Linked DNA regions of Schizosaccharomyces pombe. Changing the gene in region 1 together with any one later gene gives a genetic interaction. Each region holds a gene or a part of one and is shown in the gene's direction. Other genes may lie near its edges. The genes, in order: pfd1, SPOM_SPBC365.16, pro2 and arg12.

Region 1 (5,579 bases):
CGAACGTGTGCTAATGTTACGAATATGGATAGATATTGATGATGATGGAATGTTTGATTTTGATGAATTTGCAATTGCTATGAAAATCACCTTTGATTTGATTAATGGGGTATGAAACCACTTACTTTACTCATGAATGAACCTGTGAAGCATGGATTAAATAAATGTAAAAAGATGGAATAAGATATGAATGATTTAAGAAGACGGCGCTTGCGTAAAGCCTTCATTTTTTCTTTTATCCCTTCCACTTGTTTGATTGTTTTTATTGTGAAAGGCTACCTTTGGTTTTTAGGGTTTCTTTTTTTGTCTATTTTCATCATTTCTAACCATTAGGTTTACAAAACCGTTCCAGATAGAGTACCCGAGGCGTTGGTGTCTACTTCCAAAAAGCATTTAGTAGCAGCTCGAGATGCTCTTCGTGGAAATGATGATATTGCTCTCTTACACAAAGTACCTTCGCTTGATACCGACCCGGAAGATGCCGTTTTAAAAGATGGATTTGATTGGTACATTTCTCCATCCGATAAAATTCGATATTCCGATATTTACTCCCTACATTGCAATAAACACGGAGAAGTATCTTTTAATGGCCTGGCACCTGTATTTACTCCTTTTGGGGTTCCCAACTCTCAAATTCAGAAGGCTTGGAAACTTGTCAATCCTCAGGGTACTGAAACCATACAGAAAGATCAGTGTTTAGTATTTTTGCACATCCTTACTCAGAGATCCAACGGATTCCGTATTCCTAATGATGTCCCGTACAGTTTAAAGGCTAGTTTTAAGAGAGGAAATATCGATTATAATTTAGATTCCTACAACTCTACTAATAACTATTACTCTTCACCTACAATGGCTCCATCTACGGGTGGTGCGAAGCCGAAGAGTGATCTTGATGCCCCGAGGGATGTGAGAGACTCTGACTGGGAGCTGATTTCATTAAGAAATGAGCTGTCCAAATTGGACGAAAAGATTCTTTCCCTTCAACGTGAAACTGACGATGTTAACATTGCACAAAATAAGTCAAAGCTTATTCAACGTGATTTACAGAAAGTACTTGACTATAAGTTGGGTATCCTTCAATCTCTAAAAAATGATGGACCAAATGGCCCCAGCGCTTCCGCCATTGATAATGACTTAAAAATGCTGGAACAACAACTTAATGTTTTGGGACGTCACTTGGAAGGTCGGAAGTCTCAAGTGGCTAAGCTAGAGGAAAGGCTTCGTAGTCTGTCTTAACAAAATCTCGTTTATAAAGCTCATCATCTCAAATACTTGAGTCTTTGGATGTTTTCTTGGAAAATCGACGAAGGTACACTCTTTCTTTCTTTCTTTATTGGGCTTAATAAACTGTTCAAACAGGAAGAGGGAATTGGATTGTAAAATCATTCATTAATGTCCATCATTATATTTTTTGGTTTAATCGATACAAAACTTTTGAATTAGTATAAAAGGAGGAACTTATTCAGCTTTTATAATAAATACTCACTCTCTTTTTATAACAATCTAAAACCTCCTTGAGGTAAATTTATTACCCTGCTGTTAAGAAGAAACACAAGCGAATTCAGAACTATCAACTGGGTAAGAAGAAAAGATAATATAATAAAAACAACAAGCTTCGATTTATAATCTTCTTTTTCTAAAAAAAGTGCACACTATAATGTCTCCCAAAGCCTTCGTAACTCATACGCGTTTCATGAAAAGGATACATCCACAATCCTATTGTTCGTAAGGAGAAAAAATTGAAGAATTTATGCAAAAGAAAGCTCCCTTGTGATTAATATCGTTTACGGTTTAAGGACGACGCTTTGAAAACAACCGTTTTGATGCCCAACCTACAAGAGCTGCAACTGACACCACTGCACCAGCTACCACAACCATTCCAATGTATCCTTCTAAAAACGGGTTAGTAATGATTCTTTTCATTATTTATAACGCATCTTTCTAACATAAACACAACATTCATGCATATGTGATACCTCATTAAGTTTTATTAAAATAAACATACCTTTTGTAACAGCATCGTAAAGACGGTTTTTTAGCTTTAAAGCCTCTGGGCTATTTGGATCTTTGGATAACAACATATTGAGATAACGACGGGATTCTTCATACTGCTTCAATTTGTAATGGGACAAAGCAATGTAGTAGAGGCATTCCAAACGCCTTTCCGGTGAATCTTTGTAAATGCTGCAGAACAAAGATAATCCCTGTTGTACATGCTGTGTAGAATCTGAGCGTACCAATGCCCAAGCAAGGTTAAATTTGGTTTGTAAAGTAATCAGAGGTTGTTCTGCATCGTATTGTTCCTTGATTTGTAGAAACTCATCAACAGAAATAATTGAATCAATAGCAGAAGGATCAGCGAGGCGAAGGGTGTGTTTTTCAGTCATGATGTCGTTATTGCTTCCTATATTGGTCTTTGAATGTGCCTTAATTATTTTAAAGGCGGATTAATATAAATAAACGGAAAATGTTGAAAAAACTACAGTCACTTGAAAAAAAATTCAACAACTCAAATATAAAAGAAGAAAAAAAGGGTTGAGTATGATGCAAAAATGCTAAATTATCAATGTAAACAGCCAATTCCAATTATAAAGGATTTGAGGCGCAAATGAGTGAACTACAAGGATAATGGATTTCCAAAGCAATAGAAAAGTCCAGAAATCCGATTTAGTAAGAATATGGATATGCTTTTTCCACAAAAATTTGAAACAGAGAAGGAATGAAATGAAGATTCGTTTGTGAACGCCATCGCCAACAATTTATGTAAGGAAGAACTTAAGGATATGGCAAAACATTTCACAAAATATTTATTACAAATTGTGGCGTATTATGTAATTCACATTTGCGAAACGTACCGATAATAAAAGCAGTGTAAAGTAGCTTGTAACATGCCAGCTTTGTACTTAAGGCCTAACCAACATTTTGCCTAAGACTTGATATACTTGTAAAGGTGGTATATTCAAATATATTGAAAAAGTTCTTGATTTGTCTATAAAAAAAGTATTAAAAGGACTATTCTTTGTACCATAATTTTGGAAAGAGCAATTCAATCCAAAAAAAATAAGTTCTTGAGATATACCCAAGTTTCCTTTAAATAATGCAAAATGTACGTATTTCATCATTGAGAAGAGAATTATTTTGTTAGGAATTTCCCTCTTTTTAACTGTGTTACATGGTAAACTAATGAGCTTTGGGCATATTAGTTAGCTAGTCAAATACAAGAGAAAGCGGTTGATTCACAGCAACAACTGAGGACCATAATGGTACAGATTGCTGCCAAGGAACGGGCACTAAAAATAAGTGAATTAGCCAAAAAAGAGTTAGAGGATGTTGGAGAAGATAAGGCCGTATATACTTCTCTTGGAAAGATGTAAGTGTCATAAAATGAAACATGTATTTTTATTTTCTTTTCTATAAAAATAGGGAAAGAATACGGAATTAGCAAAAACAGCACTTTTGGAATGGAATTGACCGTACTGTCAATCTATATGTAAAGTCATTTACTAACTGTTTATTTACAGGTTTATGAAATCCGATTTGGCTTCCGTACGTACACATTTGGACGCAGAAATGGCAAGTTTAAGAGAAGATATTGAAGCACTACAAAAGAAACAAACATATCACGAAACAACGGCCTCAAATGCTGAGCAGCATTTACAAAAGATAAAAGAGTCGATTTCTTAAAACATCAATTATAATCATCTCATTGGTAAATTGGATTATGGGATTGGAAAGTTTATGACTTTCTTTTTTATCTTTAAAACTGTAGAATTAAAGTAAATTTGTTCCATTAATCTTCTTGCATTTCTAACAAATACTGGGGCATTTGTGAGCCGAAATTTTGATCACTGTGACTGCGCTTTTGTGTATGGATACTTAAATTTCAAGCTTGAAGACTTGTGAATTTAGTATATGTTATACTTTTAAGGTAAGTTTTCTACTGTTAGAATTGACGTTTGGAAAAGTAAATGGAGAAAGGATTTCTTTGATGATTCCAAAAAAGCATAGTTCAACTGAGCATCGTATGCTGAAACTTTTTCCATCTGATTTGCACGTCAGTCTGAGATTTCTCGTTCCCTTTTGTTTCTTTCTTTTTCAACGTCTGTTTGTCTGACTTTTGTGTTGGCTGTTTTACTGACCCATACTTTAAGGTGTTCTATATTTTTTCAAGGATATCATTAACTGTGTGGAAGCTGTTTTGTTCTCCATTAACTTCTGATTTCTTTTTGAGAGATGCACAAGGAATAGTTTATAGCTTACTTATAGTTTATGAATAAAATTATCCGAAACGAACTGTCACTAATCATTGTTTAACAAAGTATGTAGTAATGTATTAATATTAACTATGGCGACAATATTAGGACTTGAAGGTCTCTCATATCAGATGTTTGTTTCTGAATTAAAATAATAATTCTATATACGAATTGTGAAGTTGCCGTTAAATTATGATGGTAATTTGCTGTAGTTCTAGTTAAAGTCATTAATGTAGATCCTGCAGTTCAACTTTTTGATAAGATCTGCAGACAACTTTATATACAATAAATTTAGCTAAATAAAAGCAAAAAGGATTAAACACCATCGGTAAAAAAAAATAACTTTATTAGTTTATGGTCTATTGTACCCATACACTGATCAAGAAGTAATTTAAACATATAACATAAATTTTCACCTATGAAAGCAGTCTAATAAACACAAAATAACATTACTAATTATATGCCAAGAAGTTTAAAAAAAATTTAAAACAAAAAAAAAAAGAAAAACTGAACAATGGAACCTCAAATGTCGAGACTCATGATACTAATAAAAAATTTAATACTTAATTTATAAAATAGCATAACACACAACCAAGGTGTTTAGATGGTTTAAAGGAAGCAAAGGTAACTAGCGTTCACAGCGCAAATATTGGGTTAGGGCTTGGTCATAGGAGTTAACGGCCCTATTGAAAATGCCGGTGTGGTGGTGGAATAGGAAGACGACGCCGACTTTGTGGATGAAGAAGGAGATGGCGGTGATCCGGCCAAAAGGTTGCTGACACTCACACGCGAAGAAGAGGAGAACTTGCGTGATCGTCGATTCGATGATATACGGACTGGACCAACATTCGACTGGGATGCAGGTTTGTGAGGCATGCTGCTATTAACGTTGGAGAGCGAGCTCAGAGAGACGGACGATGGAGTACGAGAGACAGCACCAGAGGCTGGTGTAGACGCGGAAAAGGCGTTAGGATCACACTTCAAAGGAGGAATTAACGGAACTTGAGAAGGTCGTAGAGAAAGCGAGCGGATAGAAGGTAATTGAACGCAAGATGGATCATCCATGGGTCTCAAACGAGGAGAATGTGCCGGTGTAACGAGAGGTGTGACGTCTGGGGTGGGACTAAAGCTCCTAGTGGAAAAGGTAGGACTACTCGGTGCAGTGCTGCAGGGGGAAACCGGGCGAGAGCGACGCTGGTATCGGAAATGGGCAAAATCACTTGACGAAGAATCATCATCAAAGCCATTGGATACGCTGGGTCGAGAATAAGGCAAATAGTTGTAATGGGCATAACGTAAAGACTGAGGAGCGTAAGCCGTAGTACC
Region 2 (6,832 bases), 770 kb from region 1:
AAAGGAACAGGTAAGCTAGTAAAGCGCATACAAAAATTGTAATATCGAAGGAAAACGTCAATTTAGATTAGTGTAGGATGGTTATTACGAAAGGATAGAGTTACTATGAAAAGTGAGTACAGATTGTATGATTAAGTATGGGGGCGATAGCTGGGTGTGAGGCAAAGGAATCATATGACTTTAGAATTATCGCATCAAGGAGTAAGAAAAACGAAAACTTATCTCACAGTGGATTGCCCAAAATTATCAATCCCCCACCATGTAAGAGGAAACAAGAGAAACAGAGAGAGGGAGAAAGAAATAATTAGAAACTAGCAAATATACTTTACAGATTACAAATGGACACGATAAGTAAGTTAAGATGAAATAAAGGGGAAGATAACAAGGAACGGAATATAAAAGAGCATTTCGAACCGAATGAAACATTTTAAGCCGAATGTATTGAAATCGAAATATTTGAATTGAGAGATTTTTATTTTATCTGACTAATGATGAGAAAGGATAGAAGAGAACAAATAGAATAGAAATAGAACTAAAGATAAAAAATATGAGAACCAAAATAGCAAAACAAAAAAAGCTAAATACTAGGTAATTAATAAAAAAAAATTTAAAAAAGGATTTCTAGTAAGCGTACTACTAAAACAAGTTTAAGGATTTGATGAAAGATTGTATGTTAGAAAAATTTTCATCCTCTTTTTTTTTTTTTTTTTCTTCAAACTTCATACAAACGTAAATATCTCTCAAATTTTGCAATACCGTCCTCTTCTTCCTCGTCGATTTAGATCCGAAATTCTCCTTGGCAGCAGGGGACGGAAAATGAAATAAAGTGTTTTAGCAATTGGGATCGCGAAACCACCTGCTAGAAAGTGTTTAGGAAGAGAGTCGCCGTTCGAAACATAGCGATAACGAGTTCAAGAGCAGTATCCGTAAATTCAGAGGATTAGTGAGTGCCAACACTTCTTATAGATTACGGATAGTAAGCAGTAGTAGATGAAGGATGATGGATAGGTGGATGATCGGGGTGGGAGAAAGTAGGGAGACAGAAGGAAAATGGAATGTAGCTAACTGATAATGAAGAGAGAGAGAGAAAGATTATTTCGTAGATAAAATTTGGTGAGCTTTGACAAGATAAGTTTTGTTGGAAAAATTATGAAAGTATGCAAGAGTGTGAAGAGTAAACAAAAAAGAAAAAGAGACGTTATAAGAGGAAGGATGAGTTTGATGATCTTTTAATATCTAACGAACATAAAAAACTAATGAATGTAATAATTAATAAATGAAGCAAACTAGCGAATGCAACACCACCTATTGATTGCTTTATTTATTTATTTTTTTGCTTGACAAATACCCTTTGGATTTACTCACTATCCATCTTATCCACCGTAGGGGCCATAGTAGACTCGCCTTTCGGCAGCCTTAAAAACGCTACCCTATGTTTCGGGTTTAGGGTGTGAATACGCTATCCATCTAAGGGTCCGTTCGTTTATCACACCCAAATCTTGATGTCGAGGATCTCAGTCTTCAACGTCACCATCTGAAAATTTACTCTTGTTGGGTTGTTTCGCCCGACAAGACTAGACCTAGCAATGACAAGCAAAGTAGAGAAAGTAAAGTAAAGAAAACAATAGAAAAGAAATCAACAAAAAAGCAAGAGTAGAAAAGAGTATTAGCCGTTTCTAAGATTTTGAGCAGCGACTCTCTACAATGTTTACACTGTTTACATTGTAGGAATAGTCGCTTGCAATGAATAGCTGCATCGCTACTAGAACTATTGCATGTGAAACAGTAAATACCAGACTAGAAAGATGAGAAGACCACTAGAGAAGAAGGACTAGAGGAGAAAAGGGACTAGAGGAAAAAAGGAACTAGAGAAAAAGGACCAGAGAAAAAATGATTAGATGAGTAAGTGAGTTAGAAAAAAAACAATTAACCACAAAAAAAAATAAATAAAAAATAAAAATAAAACAATCAAGAGCATGCCTTATTTGTCAGCAACCTTCCTTTATTAGACAGCGTCAACACATCTCAATACAAAATCTTCATCTCACTTCCTCCTATACTTCAACACAGCATCTTCCACCTTGTCTTTTTGCTTGCCCCGCTGCCGCCCTTCAAGCTCGTCGGTACTTGTTCTCATATTCGGTTTTACCTCGGATGCTGTTACCTCGATACCAGGTTGGGTCACCTAATTTTCTTGCAAAAGTCCGTTATCCCAAGTTGTCCCAAGTTGTTCGGTCTTGCTAATTAAGGGGATCATCACCCTATCTTGACCCGTTTAACGCAAGATAACACAGAATCTTTAAGACTAAAAATTGATGCCAACTTGATATAAAACGTGCTTCGTTCGCTCTTTTTTCTCTTCCAGCTCGCCTCTTCAAGCACTTGATCCAATTACGACACGAGAAGAAGGATAGGAACCAGCGTAACTGGGAACAACTAGCAACTATTACGAGCAATATCTTTTAAAGTCCTTAGACACTCTTGTTTACTCACTGCTATCCCATACTCATACTGCTGCTTGCCCAGTACTATTTGTTACTGAAGAGTGTTGTTGATATTGCCATTCCTACCGCTACTACAACCACCACAGTACCACCACCGCTTTTTTTACGCATCCTTTCCCCATCTCAAACGTACGGGATAATTCTCTCAAAGCGTGGAATCAAACCCTTTGTTTTAATTGTTTTTTACTCGTTCACCTGCTATTTGGTGGGCTGTCTGACTTTTGTTTTCTCATTGGCTAGTTGGATTGTTGGACAAGGTTGTCTTATCATTGCATCGATATACCTCATTTCCACCCGTTGATTGATCAACCCTTGTAAACTTAGCCTTTGTTTGCTATAGAAACGGCTTAGTCACTTGTCGTTCTTATTTTGGAAATCGTTCTGTCTTTTCCCTATATCGCCTACTTCACGTTACTGTTAGTTTTGATTGAGCGAAGCAGTTTTAACGATACGAATCAAATTGAATTGAATTTTTTTATTCACAATCCCAATCATCGTCTTATTTTTTTTTAAACCACCATCAATCTTCCTTCTTACAATCCAAGTGGTTTTGCTTTAACTTGGACTTTGTGGTTATTATTGGTTTTTTGTATTTATAATAATTTTAGGATTTCGGGTTTACCTTTTTTTGTTGATATAATATATATCTTTTTACTTAGAAAAAGAAAAGAAAGGAATATATACATTTCCAAAGTGTGAATTACTTGGTTTCCCTCTCTTTACTTGTTTTTGTTGCTACTACTACTACTACTACTTTTGTTGTTCAATTGGTCTTGTCGTCGTTTCTCGGTCTTTCATTTTTACTCAGCATCTTTTTAATTGTCTTTTTTTGGTGACATTTCCTCTCACCTGTACTATCTGCCCCGTTAGCCTATACTATTCGTGTTTAACGTTTTAAATTTTTTCCTTCATTGCATTTGTTGAAGTGCAGTTTATTTGAAGAAAAATTATTTTTGGCTTTGCTTTTTTTTCGCAATCGTCTCTTTCTTTTCAGCTTTAACGTTGTATAAATTAGATTAAACCTTTAAAAAGAGAGAAAAATAGATACCTAAAGACCTTTTGCTTGGCTTGTTTTATTATTTTCACAAAAAAGTTTTTAATATTTTTTTTATCTTTTCTGGTTTTTTTATTCTTATTTTTTATCTTTTCTAATCTTTTTTTTAAACTCTTTGACTTTAACATGGCTCTTAATAGTCAACCCCCTTTGTCCCCCAAACCCGTTCCCTCCAATACCTGGAAGCGGATCGGCATCGATGCATTTGCCGCTACAGCCGCCAGTGCCATGATTTCTCCCTTTATCTTGACGATCGACCGCTCAATCGTCGAAAATACTAGTGGCCGTTCTACTTTATTACGCTCTGTTAGTCGCTCCATCAAATATGTTTTATCAAAGCCAGGCGCCTTCTTTTTTAGCGCTCCCTTTGCCCTGGTCTTTACATTATACTCGGGCACATATATGACGGCCAATTCCATAGACACACTGGATAACATTCGTCACAAGAATCCCGTCTTCAAGGCGGAAACTTCCGGCTGGTTTAAATTCTGTTCTGTCACCGCTGCAAACAGCGGTTTATCCATCTTGAAGGATAGTTTCTTTACCAAATTTTGGGGCACCGGTTCTCCTCGTCCTCTCCCTTGGTCTTGTTACGGTCTTTATGGACTTCGTGATGCACTCACCATCGCCTTTTCCTTCAACATACCTCCTATGATTGCTCCATTACTCCCCGGTGGTTTAATCACCGCTCAATTGCTCACCCCCTGTGCCGTACAGTTTATTAGCACACCTCTTCATCTCCTGTCCCTTGACATTTATAACAGAGGTGGACCTAACATATCAGCAGCCAACCGCGTTATGCAAGTTCGTAAGCATTTACTAAAAAGCACATTCGCCCGTATGGTTAGGATTCTTCCGGCTTTTGGTATTGGCGGTGTTACTAATCGTAAATTACGAACCACTTATTTGGATTCGCTTCAACAACGTACTATGAAAAAACAACAATTTGCTCTTGCTTAGTCCATACATGACGTTCTTTCCTTTTTCTTTCGGCTATTATTATTATTATTATTTTATTATTATTATTTTTCATCATTTTTTTATTATTCACTACTGAATAGTGTCTAAAAAGTGTGTGGACTACGGTTTAAACCTATATAAGGAAAGTGGCATACATCCTGTTATCTGGAACATGAAGCTGCATACTTTTTTGAATGAACTATATAGTGTATGTGTAATGAAGGTTTCACTTAAAAAAGTTTTCTACTTGATTTTTATGCGTCTGAGTTTTTTCTTTGTCTGGAGAAGAATTTGAAGAAAAAAGAAAAACTGCAAGAGAAAATAAAGAGGCAAAGAGACACATGGTTTTCTTTTGTACATTAATAAATAAAATTTGAATTCTATTTTAAGTCATTTTCGTTTGTGTTTAGTATGGTTGAGTATCAAATTTGTGTATGTCAAAAAACGAGCAACCGTAAAGACCGCTTGTTTAGCAAATTTATTCTTTTATCGTTCGTTTACAAACAGCTTTTGCCGATAGTGTTTTACGGTCTTTGAATGGGCTTTCGGTAGAAACCTAAAACCGATAAACAGAGTGAGATTATTTCTTTTTGCATTCCAATGTTGACCAGAAAGACGATAGCTTATTCCTATCTACTAGCTTACTGAATGGTTCAAAATGTACCGTACTACGGTAGCCATATTAATTGGTTCGTCAAAATAAATCCTAAAGTGTATAGCAACGGTTTTTTCAAAGCTCACCTACTTTTTACTGATCGTCATTATAATTAGTAAAACAATAAACACCTACTAGTAGAATCGCCGATTTACCATAATTTCGTATTGCGCTTAATTCTCTTCCCGAGGTATTTTGTTATTGCGATGGCTTGCCACAATAAATTAACTATTGTACGATTGCCGTCACACTATTTCTATCTAAAAATACTCTCATTCCCATTCCCATTTTTATCTCTCCATCCATACTTACTACATATGTTGGATATCTATATCTGTCAAACTTTAACTTCGTTGAACATGCTAATTAACCAAAATTAATACATGAATTTATTAAATAGTTTTTTATTAATTAATAGAAATTTTCAAAAAGTAATCATTGAAAAATCGAACTATATTTTTTTTTTTTATATTATAGCAGTATATAGGTGCAGGAGTTACCAGCGACCAGGTATTAGCGTTTGCCAAAACAATTAGCTTTTCTCCCGAAAGGATTGCTTTTTGAAGTCAATTACTTTAGAAGCTTTCTAGCATCTATTTGATTGTTCAATTGGCATGGTTATTGTGCTCATCATATAAAGCGCAGTTGTTTCATTAATTAAGTATCTTAGCCTACATACTTCATCTTGATTTTTATAGATTCTTTAGAGTATTTGGATAAATACTTGACTTTTTGTTTAAGAGGCTATAGAAACCCTTGTTTGAGTTTCTTCATTTTTATTGTCTCGCGCTTTAGTGTATCTGCTTCAAAGTGGTTCAAGCTAAAAAAGCATAGTACTGTTTCGCTCTTTATTTCGCATCTGCCTATCATCAGACAATTCTGTTGACTCACTCGTTTTTTACACGCACATTTACCCTTGGAATAAAAGGCGGATTAAATCCCGAAGTTGAACACTCGTAAAATTTGGTTATTATATTTTTTGCATTATGAAGACTTATGAATATGTATTGCTGGTCATTATTTTGATCCTTAGCTTGTGTTACTTTATTTATAACAATTTTCTCAACAAGCCAAAGGCTCCTGAGAGGCGAGTCGTGGCTACCGACAGTATTGTCGAGTTGATGGAGGCCGAAAAGCTCACTGCCGCGGTTTTCTTTGGATCTCAAACTGGTACCGCTGAGGACTTTGCCTACCGTTTTTCAACGGAAGCAAAGGCAAACTTCAATCTTACCAATATGGTTTTCGATCTTGAGAACTATGATTTAACCGACTTGGACAACTTTGATAGATCAAAACTATTGGTATTCTTTCTCGCAACTTACGGTGAAGGTGAACCTACGGACAATGCGGAGGCCTTTTTGCAACTTCTTGAGGGCGATGATACCGTTTTTTCAAGTGGAAAAGGCATTGAAGATACTCCCTTCGAAGGAATTCGTTATGCAATTTTTGGCCTTGGAAATCATACCTATGAGTATTATAACGCAATGGCTAAAAAGGTAGATGCTGCAATGACTCGTTTAGGCGCTACTCGTGTGGGCAATCTAGGTTTGGGCGACGATGCCGCTGGTATGCTTGAAGAGGACTATTTACAATGGAAGGATGATACTTTACCTGAGATAGGTAAGCTGTTCCATTTGCAAGAAGTCCACAAGGAATACA
Region 3 (6,050 bases), on another chromosome or scaffold:
ATTGTTTGTAATGTTCACTTTTTTTGTTTGTGATTTTTATTACTGCTTAAAGCTTTCTGAATGCTAACCCTCAGTTGATTTGAATATAGGGATACGCCCGAGCACGGTAGTTTTTTACTATTGACAAGTAAACGTACTGTAATAACAGCAATAACTGAACTTAATAACATAGGTTCACTAGAGCTTTCTTGTATAATAGTTCAATCAATAATTTGTAGGTCTTAAAATGCGTTCATGGATGCGCTAGCGATATAAGCTTACCAAAGTGTGGAATAAAGAATACAGTGACGAATGAAGCTACTAAATAGTGCAATTTAGTGAATATTCCTTTTGTTATAGATAGGTAACATGGGTAACGATGCTCAGTAAGCTCATTCAAACATGACACAGCCGGCTTCGTACAGCTTACATTACCCAACGACATATACATACTTTTGTTGTACCTGTCCCGTATTTGTGGACACTGGAAAAGTAGAATACTTAGAATGAGATTACCTCTGCTGAGTTTTGTTATATTTGCGCTTTTTGCGCTTGTATTTGCATCAGGTGTTGTAGAGCTCCAAAGTCTCAATGAGTTGGAGAATACTATCCGAGCTTCTAAAAAAGGAGCATTGATTGAGTTTTACGCCACCTGGTGTGGACATTGTAAATCTTTAGCGCCAGTGTATGAAGAACTTGGCGCTCTTTTCGAAGACCACAATGATGTCTTGATTGGCAAAATTGATGCGGATACACACTCCGATGTTGCTGATAAATACCACATTACTGGTTTTCCAACACTGATCTGGTTTCCTCCTGATGGATCTGAACCAGTTCAGTACTCCAATGCTCGCGACGTTGACAGTTTGACTCAATTTGTGTCTGAGAAAACTGGTATCAAAAAACGCAAGATTGTCCTCCCTAGCAATGTAGTTGAGCTCGATTCTTTGAATTTTGACAAGGTTGTTATGGACGATAAAAAAGATGTTTTAGTTGAATTTTATGCGGATTGGTGCGGTTATTGCAAGCGTTTGGCTCCTACTTACGAAACTCTTGGCAAGGTATTCAAAAACGAACCAAACGTTGAGATTGTTAAAATTAATGCAGACGTCTTTGCTGACATCGGAAGGCTACATGAAGTTGCAAGCTTTCCCACCATCAAATTCTTTCCTAAAGATGATAAAGATAAGCCTGAATTATACGAAGGAGATCGTTCTTTAGAATCTTTGATCGAGTACATTAATAAGAAATCTGGAACTCAACGTTCTCCCGATGGCACTTTACTTTCTACTGCCGGCCGTATTCCAACTTTCGATGAATTTGCTGCTGAGTTTTTGGATATGTCAAACGCTGCCAAGGAAGTTGTTCTTGAAAAAGTCAAGCAGTTAGCCTTAGAGGATTCATCTAGATGGACTAAGTATTACAAGAAGGTTTTTGAGAAGATTTTAAATGATGAAAATTGGGTACATAAAGAAGCTAAGCGTTTGTCTAAACTTTTACGCCAGAAGAGCATCGCTTTGGCCAGTGCTGATGATTTTAAAACTCGCCTTAACATTCTAAATTCCTTCCTTCCTGGTAATCACTAGTGATTTGGAAATGTTTGCTACGTTATAGGTGAAAAAACTTAATCTTATGACCGTAGGTTTATAAATAAATCAACAGTTTCATGATATTTTCGATAAATACTGAGGAATATGTAGGTTAAAGTATTACCCTTTAACAATTTTTTATGTACTTATAAAAATAGATTTTCTCTCCATTAATGATTTGTGTCTTTTTTAGTTTCTACGTATATGATAAACTAAAGACAATAATTAATATTAAATAGAACGTTGTAGGTAAATTCAACAGCTATATACTCTAACAGGCTTTTATCCTTAAAATTGAAATCCAAATCCTACATATAATTATTCCTTATCAATGGGCTATAAGGCTTTCCGTTATTTTACCACTACTAGATGGGCCGTTGATTTGTAAAGGTGAAGACAAGTCGTATTCCACTAAAATTTATCCTTTTTTTAAAAAATAAATTTCAACAGTAACTTTGTAGATTTTTTTTAAAATGTCTCCGAAGTCGAAAAGCACAAATAAGACTTACACAATTGTCATCAAACTTGGTAAGCACGGAATAGTAAGCTATACAAAAGCATATGTATGAATTTTATATCTCACTTTTTCAAATATGTATTTCTTTGTTTGCTCGTTGTTGGCATCACAAACGCTTTGCTAACATTATTTTAGGCACATCGTCAATTTGTGATGAAAAGACTCATGAACCATTAATTTCAAATTTGTCACTAATCGTTGAAACCGTTGTCAAGCTTCGAAAGTTGGGTCATAATGTCGTTTTGGTTTCAAGTGGTGGTATTGCAATGGGCCTTCGTAGATTAGATTTACCTAAGCGTCCTTCAAAGCTTTCTGCTGTACAAGCAATTGCCGCGGTCGGTCAAGGAAGACTAATTTCCTTATGGGATACCTTATTTACACAACTTCGTCAGCCTATTGCGCAAGTTTTAATCACTAGAAACGACATTGCCGAGGTAAGATTCAGATAATTATTGTTGACACTTAAAAAATTATTTTAATTACTGACGGGTACTAACTATTAATATTTAGAGATCCCAATATGTAAATGCAGCGAACACAATTTCCGAGTTGCTACATTTTGGGGTAGTTCCCATTGTAAATGAAAATGATACTCTGTCTGTTCAAGAAATCCGTTTTGGTGATAACGATACTTTATCGGCAATTACAGCTGGCATGATAAACGCAGATTATTTGTTTTTACTTACAGATGTTGATTGTTTGTATACAGACAACCCACGTACCAACCCTGACGCTAAGCCTATTTTAAAAATTCATGATACATCAATGGTAAATGCAAACGTTTCCACACCCGGTAGTGGAGTTGGAACAGGGGGAATGAAGACGAAATTGATCGCTGCAGATTTGGGAACGTCTTCAGGCGTAAATGTTATAATATGTCGTGGTTCTAAACCTTCGAGTATATTCGATATAATCCGTCAGGAATCCTCTGATAATAAAAATGAGTCAGTTGAATTACCTCTGCATACCCACTTTGTAGCCAAAAAGCAAGGAAGGATCCGTGATCGACACTTTTGGCTTTTGCACGGCCTTAAATCACATGGGAGTTTGGAAATTGATCGTGGGGCTTTCGAGGCTATAACCCGTACAAATAGAGCAGGATTACTACCAGTTGGTGTAACCAAAGTACATGGCCATTTTTCAGCTCACCAAGCAGTTACGGTTATTTACAACGGAGAGGAAATTGGCAGAGCCCTTGTTAATTACAGCAGTACTGAAATAGATTTGATTAAAGGCAAGAGAAGCAAAGAAATTGCATCCATCTTAGGATATAACGAAACTGAATATGTCGCCTACAGAGACTATTTAGTAGTTCATGGTTTAAATTCTCATCATGATTCACAAGTTAGTTCTGATGAGCATTGATGTATATATTTAATCACTAGCTTATTTAGAACTACTAAAATTTGTTTTTGCTCTGTTTTTTACCTTTATTATTGGCTTACTGTTATTGAAATTTTTTTGTTATAGAAGGAAGGTTTACGAACTTAATATACAAAAACAGAACCATAAATATCTATTAGAAAATTTATTAAGATTTGTTTATTTTTGTTAAAAAACTATTAACCTTAGATAATAATCAGACGTTTTGTACTGAGTTGTGTAATTAACAAAGTACATTTTGTTGGTATTATATCGGATACTTCCTACGAAGCCTGTGATTGGATTTGGCTTTCATAAACGATGAATATAAGTACACGCAATTCCAACCTCCCCTTGATACAGTAAAACTTACAAAGAAAACAATGAGTAGCTCGACTTACAGGAAATTGCCTAAAATCTTAGCTGCAGGTCTTGCTATTGGTTGCGCAGGTGGTTATTATGCTTATAAAAATTCGAATAAGCCCCCAGGACTTAATCCCGAAATTTATGCTCCATTTACAGTTAATAAAATTACAGAGCTTACATCCGATGCTAGCTTGTTTTCGTTAGTTCCTCAGAGCCCTTCTGAACACCTTACTACTTTGGAACCGATTGCTAAGGTAACAATTCGTGATCCCAGTATGCAAGTCCAGAGACCATATACCCCTTTGTACTTGGATGCCAATGAATTAAAGTTCTTTATTAGAAAGTATGAAGAGGGTCCCGTTAGTTCTTATATTCATTCTAAGAAAGAAGGGGACACTATTGAACTTCGGGGTCCTTTTAAAACCACCAAACTCGATTGTACGAAGTACCCAAGAATCGTAGCTATCGTTGCAGGAACAGGAATTGCTCCTATATATCAATTAGCTCAGTCTGTTAAATCCCCAGTCGATATTGTATACTGCTCAAGGCCTGGTCAGCCCCCTTTGCTAAAAGAAGAATTGGAAAAGGAATGCCCAAACGTAAGGGTGAAGTCCGTCCAAAATCGTTTGGTAAACATTCATGACATTTTGGATTGGGATAATGTTACAGTTCCTTTAAAGGATACCCTTTGCATTGTCTGCGGTAGCCAGAAGTTTGTTTCTACAATTGCCGGACCGAAGGCTGATTATGGCGCAAGACAAGGAGAAGTCAAAGGACTTTTATCAAACAATCCGTTTGGGAAAGTTTGGAAGCTTTAGTTTAGAAATTTTTGGCTTAAGATTTTGGGTTGCACGATCTTTGGACAATTGTGCATAATACAAAAACGATTTTTTTGTTTATCTTCAAATAATTTATTTTTACCGATTTGGAAATAAATTTATACAAATAAGGGAACTCTTAAACGTTACGTGTTATCAATGAAATGGAGCGGTTTTCTTAGGTAATGGAGAGAAAATAAAAAAAATAGTATTTAAAAAGTTTCTAAGTGTATAAATTTTTATCCATTAAATCTAATTGTTATTGAGGGTTTATGCATCTGCTGCTAAGCAGGTATAGTATGTCAAAAAGAAAGCCCATACAAGCAAAATATCTTTAAATAATTAATTGCATAAAATGTGAACGAGGGAAAGGTTCATTTTCAACTCGCATATAAACAAGCATTAATGCAAAAACTCATCAACTGCTTCACTAGTAATATCTTCAGAATCTCTAGCTTCAAATACTTTGTGCACCTGCGACACATCTTGAAACCAGACTTTAGCAGAAGCATAAATCATAGATAAGTCATTTGGGGTAGCACTTGGTCTCCAGTATATCATAAACAATGGAGTACTAAGTCGACCATCTGTGGTTTTGGTAGGATAGGAAACAAGGATAAATCTAGGATTTGTTTCCGAGAGTTCATCTGCGACCTCTTCAATACTCTGTAAATCCATGATTTCTCCATCGGGAACAATCTCCTTAGTAGCTTTATCAACCTTGAGAATGAAAGCATACATAACTGATTTCTTCAACCGCAAACGAAATCGATCAATTTCTTTCATCGTGGTATCCGAAATGGTGAACATACGAGCCTCTGATGACATCTTTCTTGTTAGTTTATAATATTTATGTAAAACCACAGCAATAGCCAATTAAGGAAATTTAATTTCGAGGGTGGTGCTTTTGTTGGGTTGAATTAATACCGTTCGTGCAGAATCCTAAAAGATATTTAAATTCATGCTAGGAGTTAAAAATTTATTTTTGAGTTTTGATAGATAATTATTGATTTTTTAAATACAAATTATTCATCAATTTTATTATATTCAAAAAGTCTATATCCACGTATGTGATATCTTTGAAGTTCGTAAATTGGCAAATTTAAGCATTGTGTTATATTTACAACTTGATAAATAAAAAAAAAAAAAAAAAAAAAAAAAAGAGGATACTTAAGGATAAATATTATATAATACCTAAGATTGAACGAACTAATGTTTTTTTTTAATATTCCTAAGAATATCCTGTTAATGCAATCACTTTTTTAATAACATTCATAAAGTCTTTGGTCATCGGGACTAGCTAATAATACTTTACGACGAAGCGATAAAAATGTATTACTTTAGCAGCTCGAAGTCGAGCGGTAATAAATCAAACACTTAAATTTAAGTACTTATGTAAACTTTACTCTATAATAGGCT
Region 4 (6,128 bases), 1.3 Mb from region 1:
GGTAAGAATTTTACGAGATTTTAAATTTTTATTTATTTACTTATTATTTTTGACGAACGCTAGTTTCAAAAAAGCAAATCCAAACTCGAGGTATTTTCAAATTGTTTAAAATTTTCAATAGAATGGAAGGATGTTTTTTAATGCTTTCCACATCTTTGAATTGGAAATTTCCTTTTAATATTTACACTTCTTCCAAGAAAACTATAGCAATTTGTTTCATTATAACGACATAAGTTTGTAGGAGAAAAAGTGTGAGAATATAAAAGTTCCATAATAATACATTATTCTCTATGGATTAATTATTTTTTTTAAATATTTTTTTAAGTTAAAAAGCTGGTCTTTCCATCCATGTAAAAATTGGAAAAGGAATATCGAGAAAGCAAAATAAACCAGGCCCTACCTGCGGAAAGGGATTTTTCTTATTATTCAAGAATACTAGCAGCTTACCTCTAACGATTAAAACAATGTATATTTTTGTTTCAATACTATTTATTTATAAATTGAATAAGTAACCCAACTTACGCCAGGTTATTTTCGCATTTTATGTAAACGCTATAATGCGATAGAAATCGCTAATTTGTACTGGATTGAGTAAGTATGAATATCTGACGTGCCAAAAACCATGAAGCAATTTGAAGAACAAATTGAGTAGGTTTTTATGAATGTCACGTATTATGTATTTTTCTAACAAATTTAGAAGGTTTAAGCAGGCGTTATTTGAAGATTCTGATGGTAATTATTGTCAAAATGAGATTTATAATTTTCACTAACATCTCGTATAGCCTCGGATTCCGACTCTTCCATTGGAGAGGCACTTACAAATCGTGGATTAAAAAGAAAGAAAGGATCGAAAAATGTATATTATGGTTGCGTCGGTAACTCTAGTGGCTCCTCTATAGACATTGATGTATGTGTGAGTAATTGGGAATCGTAAACTGCTAACCACTACTTTATAGTACTATAACATTGGTAATACTAAAAGAGGAGTTGTCTCTCATTTTCGAAGGAGAATAGATCCGGAATGGTTGGACCATGATAACCCATATAACGATATAAACATAGCTGGTAAGTCGTACACACACTTAGTTATGTTAGACATACAATTTTTTTGATTCATTGTGCTTTTGGAGATTTCGTGTTGTGTTTTCAAAGATTGATTATGAATTGAATTGAAATATTAGTTATCAGCACTCGCCAATCATGGTCATATACATCGATCGCTTGCTAACTCAGTAAAAATTATAGAGATCATGTCACCGCTGACAAAACCACAAGACTTGCTCACACATCCTGCTATATCTTCCATATTTGAACAAAATTATTTATCAATCCTTGCTTCTTCTGCTCTTGAAATTATATCTGCTGAACACAAATATACTGCTCATCTCGAACAATTGATGGTTGCACTTTTAGGTGATGACCCATCACTACCAGGACCACCTCATGAAGTGTTTGGGATTTCTCCTGAACAGTGTAGAGAATTGACGATCACAGTTCAAGAAGCTTTGGAAAAAAGCAAGGAGTTTATTAGATGCTGGACAAACGTTCGCATGGACCTTCTTCGGGCCATTCGTTTTAAAAACAAAGTCATTGCTTACTGCCAAGGTGAAGACTATAATGGTAATACCCAAGTTTTGTCTAAAAATGAGAGTGATGGAAAACCAAATTCCTAAAATTTATTGATTTCTCATCAATCTTTTCAATTTCATTATTTTGAAGCTGATGAAGCGTATAAGTCAGCAAAATAAAACGTTGAGAATATTATTCTTTATTCCATTCGATTTACAATTCCTTTTTACGACATTATAAAAATAGAATTATCCTTTTTTAAAACGTCTTTGGTGATTTCTTCTGCAATGAAACTTAATTATTTCTTTTACTTTTTCATAACGTTGGGTTTTTTCTCAAGCTTGGCATCCCCAGCTATTAGAAACTTTGTCTTATAATTTGAGATACTGCTACTTACATATTCCCTTTGGCTATCCTAATTTCTATCCACACTTTTTTCTACTTATTCTTTCCAAGGGAAGTACGTTTACGTTTGCTGTTACATAATTTCATTTATCACTGTTGTATATTTTTTCGTTCAATCAACCGACTAACATGTGCTTGCCATTTGTATGTTAATACATTACTTATCCTTTATTTTGCTTTTTCATTTCCCCAAAGTATTAAAATTGTTATTTGTTGTGAAATTGCCCAACCTTCTTTTTGTTAGAACAATGTAAGTGCTTGAAACAACAAGATTACAAGGATTTATCGCAAAACATATTCAAGTAAACATCAATCTTTAAAAACCTGAAACCATCAGAACTATTGTTTGACTGTCCCTGATATGATTGTATCACTTTCTTCCTCAAAACTAAATTCAGACACACTAATCAATGCATGTGTGACAAGATATTTACGATTCCTGCATGTAATTTAACCGAAACCTGTTTTCACACATTTCTCAATTAAATTTTTGTTAAGAATTCCTATACTAAGAAAAATTTTCAGATGTGTGTAAAATTTCCATCGTTTATCTATAAAGATGGTTTATTGATGAGAAAGATAGTAAAAAATAGTGTCGGCTATATTATTACATCAGTGCGCTATCAGTTTAAAAGGTTGGGCCTACTAACTTAACATATACTACACCTCAAGAAAAAGAAAGAAATGCCCCAAGAAGTAAAACGTTGCGTTCTCGCCTATTCAGGTGGTCTTGACACCTCCTGTATCCTCGCCTGGCTTATTGAAGAAGGTTGGGAGGTCATCTGCTATATGGCTAATGTTGGTCAAGAGGAAGATTGGGATGCAGCCCGTGAAAAGGCCTTGAAGGTGGGTGCTAAGAAGGTTTACGTTGAGGACTTGCGTGAAGAGTTCATCAATGACACCGTCATTCCTGCTGCTCAAGCTAACGCCATTTACGAAAATGTTTATCTCTTGGGCACTTCTCTTGCTCGTCCTATCATTGCTCGCCGTCAGATCCAAATCGCCGAGAAGGAAAACTGTATCGCTGTCTCTCACGGTTGCACTGGTAAGGGCAACGATCAAGTTCGTTTCGAATTGGCATATTACGCTTTGAAGCCAGACGTTCAAGTCATTGCTCCTTGGCGTTTGCCTGTATTTTTCGAGCGCTTCGCCGGTCGTAAGGATTTGCTCGAATATGCTGCTGCTAAGGGCATTCCCGTTACTCAAACCACCAAAAAGCCTTGGTCTATGGATGAAAACATTGTACATTGCTCGTATGAAGCTGGAATCCTCGAGGATCCCAGTATGACTCCTCCCAAGGACATGTGGAAGCTCACCGTTGATCCCAAAGACGCTCCTGATGAGGTTGAAGAGCTCAGCATTCACTTTGAAAAGGGTGCTCCCACCAAATTAGAGTGCAAGGATGGTACCTTTAGCGGAGTCGTTTCCATCTTCTACCAATTGAACGCTATCGCTCGTCGTAACGGTGTTGGTCGTATCGATATTGTTGAAAACCGTTTCTCTGGTTTGAAGAGTCGTGGTTGTTACGAAACTCCTGGCTTAACCATTTTGCGTACTGCTCATATGGACTTGGAAGGTTTAACAATGGAACGTGAAGTTCGTGCTCTCCGTGACCAATTCGTTACTTTCAATCTCGCTAAAATTTTGTACAATGGACAATTTTTCTCTCCCTGCACTCGTATGCTTTTAGCAGCTAACAACGTTTCTCAAGAGGTAGTAAACGGTGTAGTTAAACTTTCTGTCTACAAGGGCAATGTCACTGTCCTCGGTCGTAAATCTGATACTGCTCATCTTTATGACGAGAAATTGTCATCTATGGATGAGCTTGGTGGATTTGACCCTACATGGACCTCTGGTTTCATCCAAATCGAGTCTATGCGTTTGCGTAACTCTGATGAAGGAAAACATTGGATGTAAATGCCAGGTCGTTCTCAATAATAATGTCATACTCACCATGTACTTGAGCCAAGCAATAATCAAATTTCTGCTGTGCAAATAAGAAGTATTATTTGAGATGGCTTCCTTTTCATATTCACATTTCATAGAATTACTCCGTTCATATCACTGATAAGTCAATTGAATATTTTTGTTGCAAAAAAAAAATAAATTCTGAAAACTGTAACTAATTGAAATTGAAGTTTTATATTGCAAACGCAAATTGTTAAGATGTTTAATGTACTCAATACTATGCTTTTAATTTAAAAAATATTTTACAGGCCTTTAGCCATTCTTCGTATACAGTCCTAAAATCAAGAATAATGTCGAAACCATCTTGAATGATAAATGAAATGAGGAACAAAAAAGATGAAAAATATATTACTAAAATAAAATTTTTTAAAGCATATCCATAACACTTTGTACTCGGTAATCTGAAAAAACAAAGAAGATAACGCTGCTAGTCAATGTTCAAAAAGATCCGTTATTGATAAACCAGTAAGCAAAGAGACAACCGATTAGTAAGAAAAAAGAAATTACAGCAAGTGTTTTGAAGAGGGCAAGGGCAATACTGGTAGTCTTATTTACAATGACCAAAGAGAAGTATAACACTATAATCAAAGTCAAGATATTAATAGCTGAGGGCAAGCTCAATCCTAGATTTCCATTGAACAATGATTTTAGGAAAGACGTTTCATATTTTTCGAAACTTTTGCCTACATTTTCAACGGTTTGAAAGACTTGATCAGGATTGGTATTTAATCCATGGTCCACAGCAAGTTTGGCGACGAAATTCCATAAAACGGATGTCAAAGACATTTTCTAAAAAGTTAAAATATGAACGGGGAGTAATAGAGATGGGAGTAGTTAGGTGTGCTTTTTGACTGAATGTTGACGTTGTAGGCGAATTTTACCAACGATTACATTTGCTAATAAAATATGTTAAAATAAAAATTGGAAGATGAGTTGAAATAAACGGTTCTATAAACAAAACTCATTTAAAGAAAGAACTGGCAAACAGATTATGTCAACATATCTCATCTAATATCGAGACTACTGATAAAAAAATCTAATTTGCTAATGACTACAAGCTTTTATTGTTTACTCTTTGTTGCTTACAGTTCTAGTCAAAGGAGGTATTTTATTTTCGTATTTCGCTGTACATAGCATAATTTCATGAAATGCTTTTCTCTATAAATATGCTTTTATAAAGAACTAGTTAATAAAAAATTGCTTATTTCTAAGCTCTTTTAGGATTAGTAATATATAAAAAGGAAGATAAGTATTTTTATCCCTTTTTAACTGGATTGTTATTACTATAAAAGAAAGACTCTTACGGTTGATAATAAAAGCGTAGAGATCAGAAGATAAAAGTAGAATTCACCGCCTATATTTCCTTTGGAATAAATATCCAACAGTATACTTACTATTATAGAGAGAAAATTAATTTCCCTTTGCCCTTTATCATATAAAATGGTTCTTTTTATGCTGAGTGCCTAGCATAATTCCTTCCTTTTCGAAATATCAAAAGGCTTGTGAGACTTCAATTGGTAAATGCTTTAAAGTGAGTTATTACTAGCTCGCTTCAACCACTTCAGCTTGATTCTCCAATAACCGAGTTTTCAAAAGTACTCATTCTTGCAATTGCTATAAAATTTTTATCTTTATTTATACCATTACCATTGTAATATTGTTATAAGGCATCGCTTTACTTACTGAACATAAAAAAAATCTTCATCATAAAATTAATTAAATGTCAGAATAGAAAAAAGTGTTTAGAGGGTCCAACCGTACAAACAAACAACTTTTACGTTTTTAACATTTTCATTTCTTCAATAACCCCACAGTTGTTTTAAGCTATTACTTAAGCGAGGGCTGCACATGACAATGTGGCTAGTATACCCTTTATATACATTTTGAATATGCATATGAAACCCATTATATTAACGCTGGAATAGCGGGAATGCTTGTTTATTATATTAATTTATTCTATTGGAATGAATAAATCTTTTTTCTGGACATTTAAGAACGGCATGAAACAAGTAGCTCTAATAAATTAAATTGTTGGATCTTACTAAAGACTAAATATTAATAATAATTTTCTCCCAAGCTATTTATATACATATTAGAAGCAATTTGCAAAGATAGCAGACTAATACTCTTCAATGCCCAACTTCTTATTAGTGATATACATGTAAAAATATCTTTATTATGCAATA

What was found.
Region 2: mutations in pfd1 (region 1) and SPOM_SPBC365.16 together harm fitness more than expected from each alone (negative genetic interaction), as found in Schizosaccharomyces pombe (one large-scale study listed by BioGRID).
Region 3: mutations in pfd1 (region 1) and pro2 together harm fitness more than expected from each alone (negative genetic interaction), as found in Schizosaccharomyces pombe (one large-scale study listed by BioGRID).
Region 4: mutations in pfd1 (region 1) and arg12 together harm fitness more than expected from each alone (negative genetic interaction), as found in Schizosaccharomyces pombe (one large-scale study listed by BioGRID).

Annotation. Positions count from the first base shown.
Region 1 is NC_003423.3:1,754,615-1,760,193, reverse strand, and holds pfd1 (prefoldin subunit 1), read left to right. Parts: upstream 1-2,935; 5' UTR 2,936-3,097; coding exon 3,098-3,106; exon of another isoform or gene 3,107-3,203; coding exon 3,204-3,370; exon of another isoform or gene 3,371-3,521; coding exon 3,522-3,684; 3' UTR 3,685-3,928; intron 3,929-3,971; exon of another isoform or gene 3,972-4,072; intron 4,073-4,151; 3' UTR 4,152-4,293; downstream 4,294-5,579. Other genes in the region: actin cortical patch component End3, read left to right, coding at 33-109, 334-1,236; protein Fis1, read right to left, coding at 1,792-1,892, 2,006-2,387; DNA-binding transcription repressor, glucose sensing, Scr1, read right to left, coding at 4,908-5,579.
Region 2 is NC_003423.3:2,527,304-2,534,135, forward strand, and holds SPOM_SPBC365.16 (uncharacterized protein), read left to right. Parts: upstream 1-2,363; 5' UTR 2,364-3,684; coding exon 3,685-4,518; 3' UTR 4,519-4,911; downstream 4,912-6,832. Other genes in the region: ccr1 (NADPH-cytochrome p450 reductase), read left to right, coding at 6,160-6,832.
Region 3 is NC_003424.3:2,024,744-2,030,793, reverse strand, and holds pro2 (glutamate 5-kinase), read left to right. Parts: upstream 1-1,926; 5' UTR 1,927-2,041; coding exon 2,042-2,096; intron 2,097-2,220; coding exon 2,221-2,519; exon of another isoform or gene 2,520-2,595; coding exon 2,596-3,450; 3' UTR 3,451-3,586; downstream 3,587-6,050. Other genes in the region: ER protein disulfide isomerase Pdi2, read left to right, coding at 486-1,565; cytochrome c-heme-linkage protein Cyc2, read left to right, coding at 3,831-4,631; actin regulatory protein gmf1, read right to left, coding at 5,034-5,459.
Region 4 is NC_003423.3:447,534-453,661, reverse strand, and holds arg12 (argininosuccinate synthase), read left to right. Parts: upstream 1-2,636; 5' UTR 2,637-2,658; coding exon 2,659-3,891; 3' UTR 3,892-4,222; downstream 4,223-6,128. Other genes in the region: Clr6 and Rpd3L histone deacetylase complex subunit Rxt2, read left to right, coding at 623-648, 698-732, 783-907, 957-1,065, 1,246-1,673; nuclear membrane organization protein Apq12, read right to left, coding at 4,381-4,728.